Mus musculus: one gene and its partners. The main gene of each other region encodes a partner of the protein of the gene in region 4 in a complex. Links are inferred from orthologs where the notes say so. Each region holds a gene or a part of one and is shown on either strand. Other genes may lie near its edges.

What was found. Proteins that work in one complex are often made in the same cells at the same time.
Region 1: Pkn1 (region 4) and Map3k20 share a complex: the UniProt entries of both Homo sapiens proteins name them as parts of the signaling complex. The link is inferred for Mus musculus from reciprocal best matches to the Homo sapiens genes PKN1 and MAP3K20.
Region 2: Pkn1 (region 4) and Nod2 share a complex: the UniProt entries of both Homo sapiens proteins name them as parts of the signaling complex. The link is inferred for Mus musculus from reciprocal best matches to the Homo sapiens genes PKN1 and NOD2.
Region 3: Pkn1 (region 4) and Akap13 share a complex: the UniProt entries of both Homo sapiens proteins name them as parts of the signaling complex. The link is inferred for Mus musculus from reciprocal best matches to the Homo sapiens genes PKN1 and AKAP13.

The regions. Positions count from the first base shown.
Region 1 is NC_000068.7:72,369,137-72,372,636, forward strand, and holds part of Map3k20 (mitogen-activated protein kinase kinase kinase 20), read left to right. Parts: intron 1-2,590; coding exon 2,591-2,619; intron 2,620-2,734; coding exon 2,735-2,872; intron 2,873-3,500. UniProt on the Homo sapiens protein: Stress-activated component of a protein kinase signal transduction cascade that promotes programmed cell death in response to various stress, such as ribosomal stress, osmotic shock and ionizing radiation.
Region 2 is NC_000074.6:88,657,347-88,660,846, reverse strand, and holds part of Nod2 (nucleotide-binding oligomerization domain-containing protein 2), read right to left. Parts: intron 309-3,500; coding exon 203-308; intron 1-202. UniProt on the Homo sapiens protein: Pattern recognition receptor (PRR) that detects bacterial peptidoglycan fragments and other danger signals and plays an important role in gastrointestinal immunity.
Region 3 is NC_000073.6:75,609,034-75,612,533, reverse strand, and holds part of Akap13 (A-kinase anchor protein 13), read right to left. Parts: coding exon 974-3,500; intron 925-973; exon of another isoform or gene 94-924; intron 1-93. UniProt on the Homo sapiens protein: Scaffold protein that plays an important role in assembling signaling complexes downstream of several types of G protein-coupled receptors.
Region 4 is NC_000074.6:83,696,380-83,700,639, reverse strand, and holds the start of Pkn1 (serine/threonine-protein kinase N1), read left to right. Parts: upstream 1-1,460; 5' UTR 1,461-1,652; coding exon 1,653-1,673; intron 1,674-4,260. UniProt on the Homo sapiens protein: PKC-related serine/threonine-protein kinase involved in various processes such as regulation of the intermediate filaments of the actin cytoskeleton, cell migration, tumor cell invasion and transcription regulation.

The DNA.
Region 1 (3,500 bases), on a different chromosome or scaffold from region 4:
GGCACTAGGATTAGTTAGCTTTGGTGGACCTAGCTAAGTAAACACCGGAGTTTGCCGCTCAAGGCAGGAAACAGTCCTTGCTATCAGTTATTTCTACATTTTTAGCGGCTCTCGGCAGGGAGAAGGAAAGCGTTTATTTTTAGAACTCTTAAGACCACAGAAGCTAGAACTTGAATTTGCCAACAGTGTGATCCTTGGAATGGGTGGTGACTGCGGGTGGGCAGGAGGAGCCTGGGCAGGCCCCAGGTGCTCTGCTCACACCCAGGACCTGCAGGCCTTGGTCTGACAGGTGGAGAGCAGGAAAGACAGGAAGTTGTAGGCAGCTGCTCTCCTGAGAGTCCACCCTGGCCTCTCCTTAACCCAGTCAGCTGGCTCAGCAAACTGTCCCACCCTCTCCTACTCTTTTTGGCTCTTCTGAGACAGAATCTTGTGATATAGAGCAGGCTAACAGGAAGTCATTAGAAAATAATCTAATCCCCTCCGGGATGAAGTGACAGAGTTATGTGACTACAATTTCAGTTTGTGCTATTAGTTTTGATATAAACAAGTTATCTGATGTTTTAAAACCTATGTAGTTAGCATGAAAATGATATTTAACAATGGAGAATTTCTCATTTTAAAAAAACTACAACTTATGTAGTTAAAAGGAAAGAATATACATTAATATCAAAAGAATACCAGCCTAACTTTGGCAATTTGTTTTTACTGGGAAGTGGAGTGAGATTTTGTCTTCTGTAATATTTTTGAAAACTTTAGTTCTGGGCTGGCAAGATGGCTCAGTGGGTAAAGGCACTTGCCACTAAGCCTGACAACTTGAGCTTAATCCCCAAAAACCACATGACAGAAAGAGAGAACCAACTCCCACAAGTTGTTCATGATCTCCATGTGTATACCATGGCCTGTATGCCTCAACACTGTGTACACACACAAAATGAATAAATAAAATGTAATAACAATAAACCCGTATTGTGTGTGTGTCTGTGTGTGTGTGTGTGTGTGTGTGTGTGTGTGTGTGTGGTGTGTTTGTGGGCATACATGTGCTATGATATGCTCTTGGAAGTCAGAGAGCCACACTGTGGGGTTGGTTGTCTCTTCCCACCTTTATATGGGTCTCTGGATCTGTCTCCCGTCACCAGGCTCTCATGACAAGTGCTTCTAAACCCACCGAACCATCTCTCCAGCCCCCATATTAAGTTTTTTATTGTTTTTTTTTTTAATAAGCACTTGCTAATATTATGTCAGGAAAAAGGAACAGGGAGATAATCTAAGACCAACTGAATACAACAGTAGTATTTATTTGCATTTTTGTTTGCCACAAGCATGTAGCTCATTTCTTGCCAGCCCACATTTACTTTGAGACTATTTATATGTATTAGATCACACAGGATATTTTCTCCAGTTACCGAACCCACTAGTAACATCTGCTGTACTGATCATCCACCATGCTCAAGGCACAGAGTGGCTTACTACACAAGTCCCGGACACCCTCCCTAGGCTTCTGTCCTTGGCCTTCCCTCTGACCATCCCACTCCATGTCTCTCTCAGACCACAGCCACCCACATGCACAGCCCGCTCCTTGCCTCTTGTTCTGTGCTGTTATGCAGGCCGTCAGCCCCCTGAAGTCTCCCTCCTGCCCATCTTCCATGTCACATTCTTTGTGGCCTTCCATCCCCCACAAGACCTCTTCTTGGATTGGCTTCTGTCTTCTAGAATGCCTGCACCTTTACCCTGCACCTGAATGTTTCGTGGATGAAACTCCTCGCCCTCCCAGGCTCCCCTCTTCCTGTCATCAAGTCTTAGTATAAGCATCCATCCCCGCCAGAGACCTCATCCAACCTCCCCAGGCTTAGGTGGTCCTCTTGGTTGGTTCTTTATTAACTCTTTCTCTCATCATACAACTTACCCCCACTTCATTGTGGATGTTTAATGGTCTCTCTGATGCACTGAAGACTTCGGGAGAGGAGAGGAGAGGAGAAGAGAGGAGAGGAGAGAAGAGGAGAGGAGAGGCCGCAGTGACCTTTGACCCCAGTGGGTACTCAACACTGTTGTCAAGCACATGGATGCATAAGTGTTGTTTTCACCTTTCAGAAAATGAATCTTCAACTGTGAAGAACACACACACATACACACACACTCATACAGAGACAGACAGACAGACAGACAGACTTAGAGAAAGACACACACACACAGAGACAGAGACAAAGACAGGATTTTATATCATAAAACATAAAATGAAGATATCTAGAGAATTGGTGAGTTCCTTCCTATTAGGCAGATAGCATTTTTTTTAAAAGCTTAACTCCATGAGGTACTGTACCTGTTTTATACAAATGCGCGCATTTGGAACAGGGTCTTCTTATGTATCCCTGGCAGGTTTAGTTCCTGCTGTGCAGCCTAGGCTCACCTCAAACTCGTGGTAGTCCTCCTGCCTCAGCCTGGGATTCTGGGTACACACCACCACGCCCAGCTTATATCGTGAAGTTAGAAATGTAGTGGTTTCAACGTTAGAAACATGACGCCATACTTTTCTTTGGTGCTAAGGTGATTCAAACAGAAATGATTATCATACTTTCTCTCCATTTTCTTCCAGTTGTTATCGCTGCTGACGGAGTGCTGAAGGTAGGACTGTTTCTTATCATTTGAAGAGAGTTGTCCATTTCTGATGATGGCTTTGTGACTAACAGTCTCCCGTCAGCACTGGGTAGAAAGTTGACATTGGTTCCTCTGTCCTCAGATCTGTGACTTCGGTGCCTCGCGGTTCCATAACCACACAACACACATGTCCTTGGTTGGAACTTTCCCATGGATGGCTCCAGAAGTTATCCAGAGTCTCCCTGTGTCTGAAACCTGTGACACGTATTCCTATGGTGTGGTGAGTACGTTTCTCATTTCCTGCTTACCAAAGGACATAGGAAGGGACAACAGCTTAGAGAAGAAAATGGCCACAGTTTAGCTTCCTTGTGCCTGAGACAGTTGGGTCATCCACAGTGGAAGCATTAGGGAGGGGCTTTCCAGCTGTCACAATGTATGCTTTGATCACTTATGACCCCGAGCTAATCTGTCCTACAACAAGAAGAACCATCACTGCTTCCGAGAAACAAATAATGCAGAGCCTGACCAGCGCGAGGCCTGCCGGGCACGCTGTCGAGCTGGGTGGAAGCACCACTGTAGAGCCGCTGTGCAGTTCACTGATATTGCGAAAATCTCTTGGAATATGCTTGCTTATAATAGATGCCCACATGGCGTGTGACAGACAGGAGCTGCCAAGCGAGCTAAACTTGTACATTTCCGAAACTACAAAAGAACATGTTGTTAGACCAGATAGCCTTGCCCAGGTCTGCTGTAAATGCTTCGAAAACAAGTGGTGAAGTTAAGGGGTTAAAGCAGGTGGATGCCAGCAGGCAGAAGCAAGCCTAGAGTCGAGGGAGGAGCCAGCTAAGGATCATTTGGGAGGAAGTAGCCTCTGGTAGGGCATTTCCTGCTGCTGGAAGGAATCCTTT
Region 2 (3,500 bases), about 5.0 Mb from region 4:
TATCATGTGGTTTGGGGAGCAAGGAAGGGGGAGAGCCGCCATGCCCTCATCTTTTCCATCTTCACTGCTGTCAGGTTGCTGCTAGGCTTCAGATGCAGGAACTGAGTCTGGAGGACGTCAGGCATCCATCCATGGACGCTAACTGCCTTGTGCTTTGCTCTTTAACCAGGGGTCTGTGTTAACCAGAAGGACAAATACGTACCCTCGTAAGGCAGAGGCAGTGGAGCTGGTAGTTCCCTGACGTGCTGTAGAAGGAAGGCAGCCAGTCCATTGGCCTTCACCGCAGCGAGATCAAGCAGCCTTCTTGCCTACAGACAACAAAGAAAAGGCCATTGCTATTTTCAAGAAGGCCGAAGGAAGAGGAACAGTGTGGGAAGGTTTCTATTAAAAGTTGGACACCCCTAATCTGAAGGTCCCAAGTCCAAATGCTCTTAAATCCCAACCATTCTAAGTGCTGACACAATGTCACAACAGGAAAATTGAAACATCGTGTAGAATTACCTTCCAGCCATGTGTGCATGAAATATAAATGACTTCTGTCGTTAGACGTGGGTCGGGTTGCCAAGGTATTCATTGTTTATGTAAATATTCTAAAACCCAAAAAATTTTCTGAAACACTCCTGGCATCAAGCATTCAGGATAAAGTAAAAACTACCAACAATACAACCAATACACAGTCCTCTTCTAGCATAATGAGAGCCCAGAAAAACAACTGCTCTACCGTCTGCATTTAGCAAACAAAGATGATGTAGTCGTGGTTTGTGAAACAAACACACAGCCAACCTGGCTTCCTCCCAAAACCCACTGAGAGAATGAATAGCTAAAAAATTAAAAGCTAAAAAAAAAAAAAAAAAAAAAGACCAAACAAATACATAAACCTACCAACGGACAAAAGCAAGCAATGATTTTGGAAGCTATAGACCCCTGGAAGGCTGGTGTTGTACCAAGTCCCATGGCCTGGATGCTTAAACTCTCTCTCTCCACAGAACCCACTTTCTTCTCCAGCCTAAACTATGCTCTGAGTCTGGGACCCACACCCCTAACTGCCCATTTTTTTCCTTTTAAATGTGTCATAAGTATGTGCGCGTGCATGCACACACAAACACACACACACACATGCTGGTCACACACGCACACACGCCTTTCCTAGTCTCTGCTCAGGTCTCCTCAATCCTTCTAGTTGTTCAGCCCAACATCTGAGGTCACCTTACAGTCCCTTCTCTGCACATTGTCAGCACATCCTGTAGTCTCCACCTTCAAAGTACCAGAATCAAGCTGTCTGACAGAAATAGAGTCCAGAGCACACAAGCAAGGTATATGTGCACCAAAGCCTAACAGCCACATGCCTCAGTGACAAGTATTGGGTGTACTTGGTCATAGATCATACTTTACCACAACACGCAAAATCCTGCCATTTCACCACACGGTCAACATAAGAAGTAGTGGAACGTGCTGCTTTTTAATCTCTTTTCTGTTATGTCTTCTAGAGTTGGTACATTTAGCTGATGGCTATGGAGCCCTGTATGCACATGAGGCCTACTGCCATCTTGCTCCAAGGCACATCATGGCTTACCCAGAAACTGCACAGCTGCCAGTCTCTGCACAATCCTTGCCTACAGCCTATTCCATCCCCCACACCACAGTCAGAGGAGAGTGCCTGCTTCCTAGTCAGAGGTGAGTATTTTACAGGTTAGTCACACAAGCATAGCATAAACATCCCAGCCATGGCCTGAGTCCAATGGTAAACACTCCAGAGCCAAAGTAGACAAGCATCCTTGTTTGTGACCATGTAAACCCAGACTGCATCTCTTCTTGACTGCTTGACTGCCTTGGCCCCCTCCTCCCCTTGAATGCTCCACTTAGCATTGGCCTCCCTCTCATTTAATGAGCATGCCCAGTGTGCTTCTACTTCAGGACTTTGCTCTAACAGCATCTCTGGCTAGAGTGCTAAACCCCACCGCTGGCTGGCTAATTCTCTCACCCACTTTAGTCTTTTCCCAGCTCCTATCTTCTCACTGAGAATACTCTAACAACCTTTCAGGAAGGTGAAGTCACTACTTTATACCCTGGGGACTCTCAACAGACAGATCCACTCCTTTATTAATCTTCCATTGCACAGGGCACCTTCCAAACTCTGCAATGCTTGCTTCTGCTATGATCTATCTCCAGCTGAGGTATGAACATCACAACAAAGTTTTCTGTTGTATTCACTGATTTAGTCCCAATGACAGAGGCAGTATAAAAGGACTCCTACTAGATAAACAGACAGATAGACAGATGGATGGATGGATGGATGGATGGATGGGCAGATGGATGGATGATGGACAGATAGGTGGATGGTTGGATACATGAGTGGCTGGGTGGGTAAGTAGGTGGATGGATGGATAGATGGATGGATGGATAGATGGAATGGACAGATGGATAGATGGATGGATGGATGGATGGACAGGTGGGTGGGTGGATGGTTGGATACATGAGTCAATGAATGGGTGGGTGGGTGGACAGACGGACAAACAGATGGACTGATGGGTGGATGGATGGATGGTAGATAGATGGGTGGATGGATGAATGGATGGGTGGATAGATGAATGGATGGGTAGATGGATGGATGGATGGATGGATGGATAGATGTGGGATAGATGGGTAGATGGATGAATGGGTGGGTGGGTGGGTGGGTAGGTGGGTGGATGGACAGATGAACAGATGGATAGACAGATGGATGGACACATGGATGGATGGTAGAAGACTTCTTAAGGCTAAGTCCTAAGACCAAAATGTTGCTGTTGAAAAGCATGTCATGTGTACCCTACAGTCTGCCAAGAGCTCTGGCATGGCAGTATCAAGTATGTCTTCCCCACTCCAAAGCATGACCCAGCCACTCACTGTCCCTGCCTGTCATACTGCCCAAAGATCTGCATTCTGAAAGGATGAAAAAGGATCCCAGGACTGGGAGAATCCAGGCACAACTAGAAAGTGGTTGCCATTCCCCCAAAGCCAGAGTTTAAATGACTGTGTGTAAAATATGTGCCAAGGTTACCTTTCCACTACCCAGCTCACTCATCCTCCAGGTTCCCAGACCTCTACAATCATACCTTTACCACAGGCAGGAGGCTTTTTATCTGAAGAAGCTGGTAAACCCATGAGAAAAATTCTACAGAAATAAACTACTATATACACTACTATTGTCTAACCATCTACGGTGAAAGTCACTGTAGACAGGTTTCACCTGGTTGCTCAGGATATTTCAAAATCTGTCTTTTTAATAATAAGACAGATAACCAAGGCTTACCTATGCCCAAAGAAAGTGTCAAAATGGGAGATCAGAGACAAATTAATAGAGAAGGAATGGTAACTTGAAGGTTCAAAGGTTTATACAAGTAGTGAGTGATGTCACACAGTGGTAGAATGATTGTTTAGCATGTGAATGCTCTGGGTTCCATCACTAGCACAGAAATGGATATATATAGCATGAATCAAACAATGCAACTAATCATATAAAT
Region 3 (3,500 bases), on a different chromosome or scaffold from region 4:
AAAAAAAAAAAAACAAAACACCTATCACAAAAGCATCAGAGCCACAGTACAGGGTAGCATGTGGTGGCGGCATAAACGTCTGCATCAACTGACCTTCCGGACTTCAGAAGACAAGAGTGACAGCCATTCCGAATACAGTTTCGGCTTCAGTCTCAAAGGCCATAAGAAGTTCTATCCAGTGAGTTCATTCCACTGAGCAATGGTGGCTTCTCGACACTCTCTTTAGGACATAGTTACCCATCGATGGAACAGGCAGCTTGTGTTGAGCAATCTGCTTAGTGCAGCTGCTTCACCGAGATAAGCAGACACCAGGTCTGCCTGGTGACAGCAGCGCAGCGGACTGGGCTTGGGCGGAAATCCTGTATCCTATCCCCTGTGCTGTGCAGGACCCTGAATTCCCAGACTCTGCCCAAAAGCAAAGCAGCAAACCTGGAGGTCTGTTTCTCAGGCAGGAAAAGGAGGAAGAGTACACACCCCCAACTTAAGCAATGACCTAATATCACCGTTTTAGATGTTCATTTAATTCAGTACTTCTCAAAAACAGCTGCTCATGAAGCCGGCCCAACTTTAAATTCTCTTACAATACAGACAGCTATGACTTGGAAAAGTTTCCAATCTGTAAACAAAGCACATTCATTTCAGCGCTACATTCTGGGGTTCTAAAGAAAAGAACTAAGCTGTTTGATTATCTAACGCCGTCTGAGATCCATGTACTGTCTTCCGGATTTAGAAACTGCAATGGCTCCAGTGTGACAGAGAAGGTAGGCTTGAAAAAACAACAACAACAGGAAAGCTTTGCACCTGTAATACAGGAAGTAAAATCTGTCCAACCTAAGATGACACGTGTTTTCTGACAGCAGTGACTATTAACTTGGCAACTTACATGACTGAGCAAGTAGGACTACAAACCAACAATATCGACATTCTAGTACACAACAGAGACATGATTCTTAAGCTGTTAAGTCTTATAAACTGCCTTGCTTACCTGGTGCTGACTCAGGTAGAATAATTTTCTCTGGTTCTTCTGTCTCAGCACCACACTGCCCGGTGGTGTCTTCGTGCGTCTTCTCTATCTGCGGGGTCTCCCCAGGCAGGAAAGCGCATGCACTCTCTGTGTAAGCATTCTCTAGCTGCTTAGTCTCTGGACTGGAGAGTGACGGATTCTGGGTTTCTACTTTAGCCATCAGTGCGTTGGAGGCCCTGACTTGCCTGATGACGGCCTCCACTATCCTAGTGGCGGTCTCCTCTATGGAGTCTGCTCTGGTAGGCACATCTGCAGCTTGGGTTGAGACAGTAGTGGCATTACTTTCCTCTGCCGGGATGGAAGCCTGTGCCACTTGCTTCATGTCAGCTTGGGGGACATTGTTATTGATCACTGAGAGCCCTGTCTCTGTGGGGAGGTCCCTGGCAAGAGGCTGCATTGGTTTTTCGATTGGGGTCTCTTTGGAGTTACTCGTGGCACAGTTAAGGTCTGTTCCCTCCAGCGTCTCTCTCTTGCAATCAAGTGGTTCTATCTCTGGGGTTATGACTTCCTGTAAGTCAGTGACACCTTTGTCCAGGAAAGCTTCTGGCAAACTTGGAGTCATTTGCTTCTCTTGGTTTAACAACTCTGAAATTGGGATGTCTTTGATACAGTGTGATGCATCCTTTTTTCTGGGCTCAGCAGTAGCTGGTGAAGCATCAGCCACTGTAACATCCTCCATCGCACTTCTGCTTACCTCACAAGCATTGGTTTCCCCTTGGAACTGAGTATTCTCTACGACAACATCGAGAGCAGAAGGCTGATTACAATGGAGTGCCTCAGACGCACCTGGCAGCCCACTTGGCAACAGAGATGAGCCGCTCTGCTCTGTACTCGAGGCTTTCTGCTTTGAATCGGCAGACAGACTCGTTCTTGGTGGCACCAGGCTCTTTGCAGCCCCACCTTCAGTCAGCAGGGAGACCTGTGGGGCCACTTCCTTGATGTCTTTAGTTTCTGTTTTCAGACAGGCAGAGGGTGTGTGCTGCTGTGCTTTCTCCTCGGCACAGAGGGCTGACATAGGTTTTTCACAGAGTCCTGGTATCTCCTGCCCAGAGGGAGGTGTTCTCTGGTCTTCCCTTGACATTTCTGAAGAATGCACGTCTTCTTTAACTGAAGAACAGCTCATTGCTCTATCTTTGCCATCTTGCCCCAGAGCTGTGGAACTTTCTGGAACCACTACACTGACACCTTCTTCAGGCAGAGTAAAGTCAGAAACCAAAGCAGCTTTATCCACGTTATGCAGTAAAGAGTCACTCAGCACTTCAAGTGTTGCTGTTGGGCTGGAACCCTCCTGTTCTCCACCAATGCCTACAGGGCTGGTATTTCCCATGCTGGTCCGAAGCTCTACAGCAGAGGATGGAGGTGGGTCAGTGGCCCCGTCTCCTACCTTATCGGTATCACTCAAATCTCTTCCATCTGGGCCATCTCGACAAGCTGTAGTTCTATGGAGCTGAGGAGTTGCTGTTCCCTTTTCTTTCTGGGAGGGGACAAGAGAAAGTGCGTCATCTTTGGTTACTGATTCACTCTCTGGACTGCTTGCCAGAGAGAAACTGCTGGCTGGAGGTGATACCTGGTCTGGCGCTAGTTCTTTCTCAGTCTGGGAGACAACTGAAGGCAGACGTGGAACATCCTCAAGCACGTTCGTTAAAGGTGTATCTTGCTTCAAACCATTTCCTTGATTCTTTGCATCTGAAACACAGAGATGACAAACCCCCACAGATTTCTGGGTATTTTTCACAGTGTCAGAAGTGACTGTGTCAGCTTGTGGGTCTTCTGGGCAGAGGGTGGTGCAAAGTTCTTGCGTGCTTGGCTGCACCATTGTGCTTTCAGGCAGGCTAGCTTTACCACTGCCACATTCTTCCAACCTGCCACTAGAAGTCACTGTGCTCGGCTGATGTGTAGCCTCAGCAGAAGGCGTGCCAGCCTCAGCTGTAGAACAGAGCAGCGCCTGGCCACTTAGGCTTTGAGCAGGCCGTGCATGAGACTCTGAGTTCTGTTCTGGCATCCCATCTGAACTTGGGCCTGGCATGGTTAAATCCAAAGGTGATGCTGTCTTACAAAAGCCTGCTATGGAAGTATCAGGTTCTTGTCCACCTAAAACCTTGTTTTCTATAGCAGCAGCAGGAAGCACCGGGGAGCTCTGGTCACTTGTGGTTCCCCCCTCACAGCCTCTCTCTTGAGTTTCCATTCCTGGTTTTTCAGTGGGGATTTCTTCAGAACTCAATGCAGGTGAAGCCTCAGCAGGAGTGTTAACACCTACGGCACTGGTGGCAAAGACATGGTTTGTAATATCGGCTTTCTCCATGGGTTCACTTAAAACTTGAACAGCAGTTGTTTCAGTTGTGCTACTGTCTGAATTCTCAAGTCTTTCCTTTGTGCCTTCCCCTACTTGAGGCTTATTGTTCTGGGTGGTAGCATCTGGGGTAAGCAGGCTATGTTCCAGTTCCCCTGCCTTTTCTGGGGCACCAACATCTGTTGA
Region 4 (4,260 bases):
TGAGCTATAATGAGGGTGTCAACTTGCTGAAGCAGCGAGTGGCAAGTGACCAAGGGCGGCAGGTGACACAGGACCTGGTGGGCTCCTCCTGGAAATGTCTAGACTTTAGGCTCCGTTGGTATGCGGTTTGGGGAAGAGACTGTAAGGAGGAGGCGGCTGGGGGACAAGGAAGGAAGCCTCTACTGTAGTCTTGAGAGTTCAGTGATGGAGTATTGGGCCTGTTCAGGGCTTAGGAAGATGAGTTTGGGTGCCCCCCCCAAATGATAGGGTGCAGAAGAAAAGCCATCCTGTAAGTCACTCACTGGCCACCACACATTTGGCTTGGCATGTGTGGTACATGCACGTGAACACACTCAATAAATGGTATAAAGATTAAAATAGGAGTTGAAGAGATAGAAGCAATACTACTCTTGTAGAAAACTCAAGTCTGGACCCAGCACCCAGGTGGTGCAGTCCACAAACAGTTTATAACTTCCTTTTAGGGCATCCCATGTCTTCTTCTGACCTCCAGAGGCACCCACACACATGTGCATAACTCACACAAAGAAACACATATATACACATGCAAGAAATTAAATATGAGTCTTTTCTAGCAAATAGTATAAGATTAGTCTTTTGGACAGTAATTAAAATCATTATCTCTCCTACCTTATAGGACTTTTAAGGAGATGTTTTAATCCTCCTCACCCAGTAAAACTTTTGTTTATACAAAGCGCCCCCCCCCCCCCCGCTCCATTCTAGGAAATTGATCGCTTGGAGCAGTGACCCCTTTCCCCTTCAATTTCCTCTGCGCCAATTTTCTCAGACTAGCCAATTGAATAAGACTGCGAGGTCACCTGAGTTAGAATAGAAACCATATGCACTTCCTGTCTTCTCTTTGCTTTTCCGCAGCGCACTGTCTTGATGAAGAGTAAAGTTTGCCTTGTTCGGACATTTCATTTTGAAGGATGGTCTCTTTCTTTGCCACCCCGAAACTTATTCCTAACACACATGAATCAAAATAAAGTCTTTAAAAAAATGAGCTAAAAGTGACAACTGCTGGCATTTATTGTGCACTTGGGATCTATACACTTGCCCTACTCTTCCTCAAGTTTTACAGACATCCTAGTCCTGAGGGGTATTGTGTTCCCCCAAGGCCCAGGACACTGGGATTTGAAGTCAGGCTCTCCCTGTGTTTGCCTCCCGGGAAACGGGAGGGAGGATGCCTCTGTGCAGCTGGGCCGTGTGTGTCGAGGGTGGTGGTGGACGGTGACCATTGCATTCAAAGGGGTTGGAGGCGGGGGACAAGGCCTCTGAGGCTCGCGGTCGCTTAGGCCCGCTCAGAGTCCCCTACGCTACAAGGAGCGCTTGCCGCACCCCACAGCCAACAGGGACCCTATTTCCCCGCTGCAAGCCCCGGGGGCCGCCGGGAGCCCCGCCCCCGCCCCGCCTCCTCCCCAGGCGCGGACCTCGGCGCTCACGTGACCCACCCTGCAGCCGCTGGGGCCGGAGGGCGCAGCTCGGCGGAGGCCTGGCCAGGCCGGGCCGAGCGCAGCAGGCCGGAGCGCGCCGCGCGCCTGGGAGGGTCTGGGCGCCGCGCCTCCCGCCGCACCCGCCCGCGCGCTCGCAAGCCCTTCCTTGGCGCTGGGACCCCTGGCGGGCGGCCGGAGGACATGGCCGGCGACGCCGTACAGGTAGGCGACTTGTCCGCACCCGCGGGGCGGCCAGAAGGCGCGGAGGACCCCAGGCACGGGTAGAGTCCCGGACGAGGTCCCCATCGGGAGCCCGCGCGGGCCCTTGTAGCAGGTGGAGGCGCCGACCGGGTCGGAGGAAGGGGTGCTGTTCGGGATTCTACCCCAGCATCCCCTCCTTTGGCCCTCCCCGAGAGTCAGCGTGTGTAGCGGGGTCCCCACTTCGGTGTCCGAGGCTAGCTGCGGATCCCGGTGCCTGTCGTCCCCACATCCTACTCTGGGTCCTGCAGCGTTCGGTTTCTGTCAGGTGCCGCTTCACCTGGAGCAGGTGCCTGGCACCCTGCCCCGGACCGGAGGAGTGCCCGGCCCGATCCCCTCCCCCGCACAACAAAGCCCGGGCCACCCCCGCCTGCAGACGTCTTTACGATGGTCTTGACGCCACCCAGATGGGCACCTGTTGGAGGAAGTGTCTAAGTCACTTCACTAGGCCTGAGGCCGGGTTCCTCCTTCCGCCTTGTTCCCCATAACCACCCTTCAGGCTGACAGATGGAGCTGTAACCCAGGTGGGGCGTGTCCTGTCACACAGACAGGAAGGATTTTATGTCTGGAAGGTGACAGGGCTGGGTCTCTACTCCCTCGCAACAGACACCTGTGACTGGCATCTGCCAGCCACATGGCCTTCCCTGTGTGACCTGTTGGGCGTTACTGAAGCAGGGTCAGGGTCGGGGTGACTGACTCCCCACTCTAATTCAGTGGCCCAAAATCTGAGATCTTTGTATCTTTGTGGCTCCATTAATTCGTCACCATGCAGTCCATTGTCCTGTGTAACTGGTTCTCATCTCCTTCTACACCTGCCCCCATGTCTCCCCTGTACCCTTCTGTACCCGTCTTCCCCAGTCCTGCTGATGGCCTGCCGGCCTTGCCGAGGAGCTGGGCGTATCTGGTGCTGCCGATCTCACAAGGTCAGACCTCCAGGCTGATGCACCGGTGCCGGCTCCCCTTCAAGCCCACTGAGGGCTGTGCAGGGCTGTCCCAGTACATGCATGTGCTTGGTGTGTCCCGAGTAGGACGCACATGGAGGCTGTGATTCCCAGAATGAGGCTGGACCTACATCTTGGTCCCCGTCCCGTCTTCTCCCTTATGTTCATTCCCGCTTGGACTTGCTGCCTGGTTCCACCGTCTCCGTGCCTGTCTGTTCTGTGTCTGGCAAACGGATGTCCTGTCTAGATTCTGGAAACGCCCCAGGCATTGAAATCTCAGGAAGTGGGGTTTTGGGTTCCTAGCCACTTTGCCAAGAGGGTTTCCCCAAGGTGACAGTTCTTGGTCTGCTGTCTGCAGATCTGTAATGGCAGGTGGAGAAGCTGACCTTCTAATTCCTCAAGACCAGGCCAGGCGTTTGCCCTGCTGCCCTCAAGTGACTCCTTGTCCCTGGGCAGAAGTGAGTCACCGAGGAGGAGGACCCAGGAGGCCCTGCCTCCCTGCCTGCATGCTTTTCACATTCCCAGGCCTTCTCTGCTGGAGGTGGGGCCAAGGACCTTCACCTCTCCTCTTTGCTTGAGCTGGCCCTGCTCCTGGCTGTGTACCTGCTTTGCCTGCTGGGTTGGGGGCGCTGGTGGGCGACAGTGGGTGGGGCCTGGTCATGACAGAGTATTGTTCAGTGAGGCCAGGTTTAAATACCAATGCTGCCTTCCCTAATGAGTTCTTGGGTCAAACACTTTTACCTTACAGAGTCTTGTTTCTGTTTTGGAGGAGGCAATGGGGTTAGGAATGGTATGAGGGTCTGGTGGTGGTAGTGCACACCTTTGATTCCAGGACTTGGGAGGCAGAGGCAGGGGGATCTCTGAGTTTGAGGTCAGACTGGTCTATAGAGTTCTAGGACAGCCAGGGCAACTCAGAAAAACCCTGGGTGGGGGTGGGGAGGTGGGGGGAGTGAGGGTGAGATGATGGCTATGCAGAGAGAGGTGGAGCCTCAGCCAGTTCTGTGCTTCTCTGACACCTTTACTTTGAACATAGAGCTTGACAGTCTAGGCTGGGAACCCACACCCCTTCCCAAGGCCCCAGCAATGGCCTTGTGTGGGGGTCATTGTGTAGTGGGGCTGTCCTGTGTACCTCGGAATGTTGACATGGATAGGTGTCCCCTGTATACTTTGGTTGTAATGACAACAAGAATGACCCCAGACATTGACATGCGTTTCTCAAGGCGATGAGAAGACGACCCTACCTTCACTGAGAGCACAGCTATGGCCTCTTTGAGCATCGGTTTCCCCCTATGGTGACTACTGCTCAGATACACAGTGAGGAGATGACAGGGTCACAGGATCTGTGCTCTTGGCCTGCAGCCTCATCCGAAGGGCTTAAGAGCCTAGGAGAACATTGCTCATTGTGATGGTGATGGCTCACTACTTCTAGGTGTGCTGGACGTGGGATTCTTCCCAGCTAATGTGAATCTTGGCTCTGTCTCTTGCTGCCTGTGGGACCTGGAGCAGGGGGCCTCAGCTAGTTTGTCCATCCGTCTGTCCTTCCTTCCTTCCTCTCTCTCTCTCTCTCTCTCTCTCTCTCTCTCCCTCTCTCCCTCTCTCTCTTTCTCTCT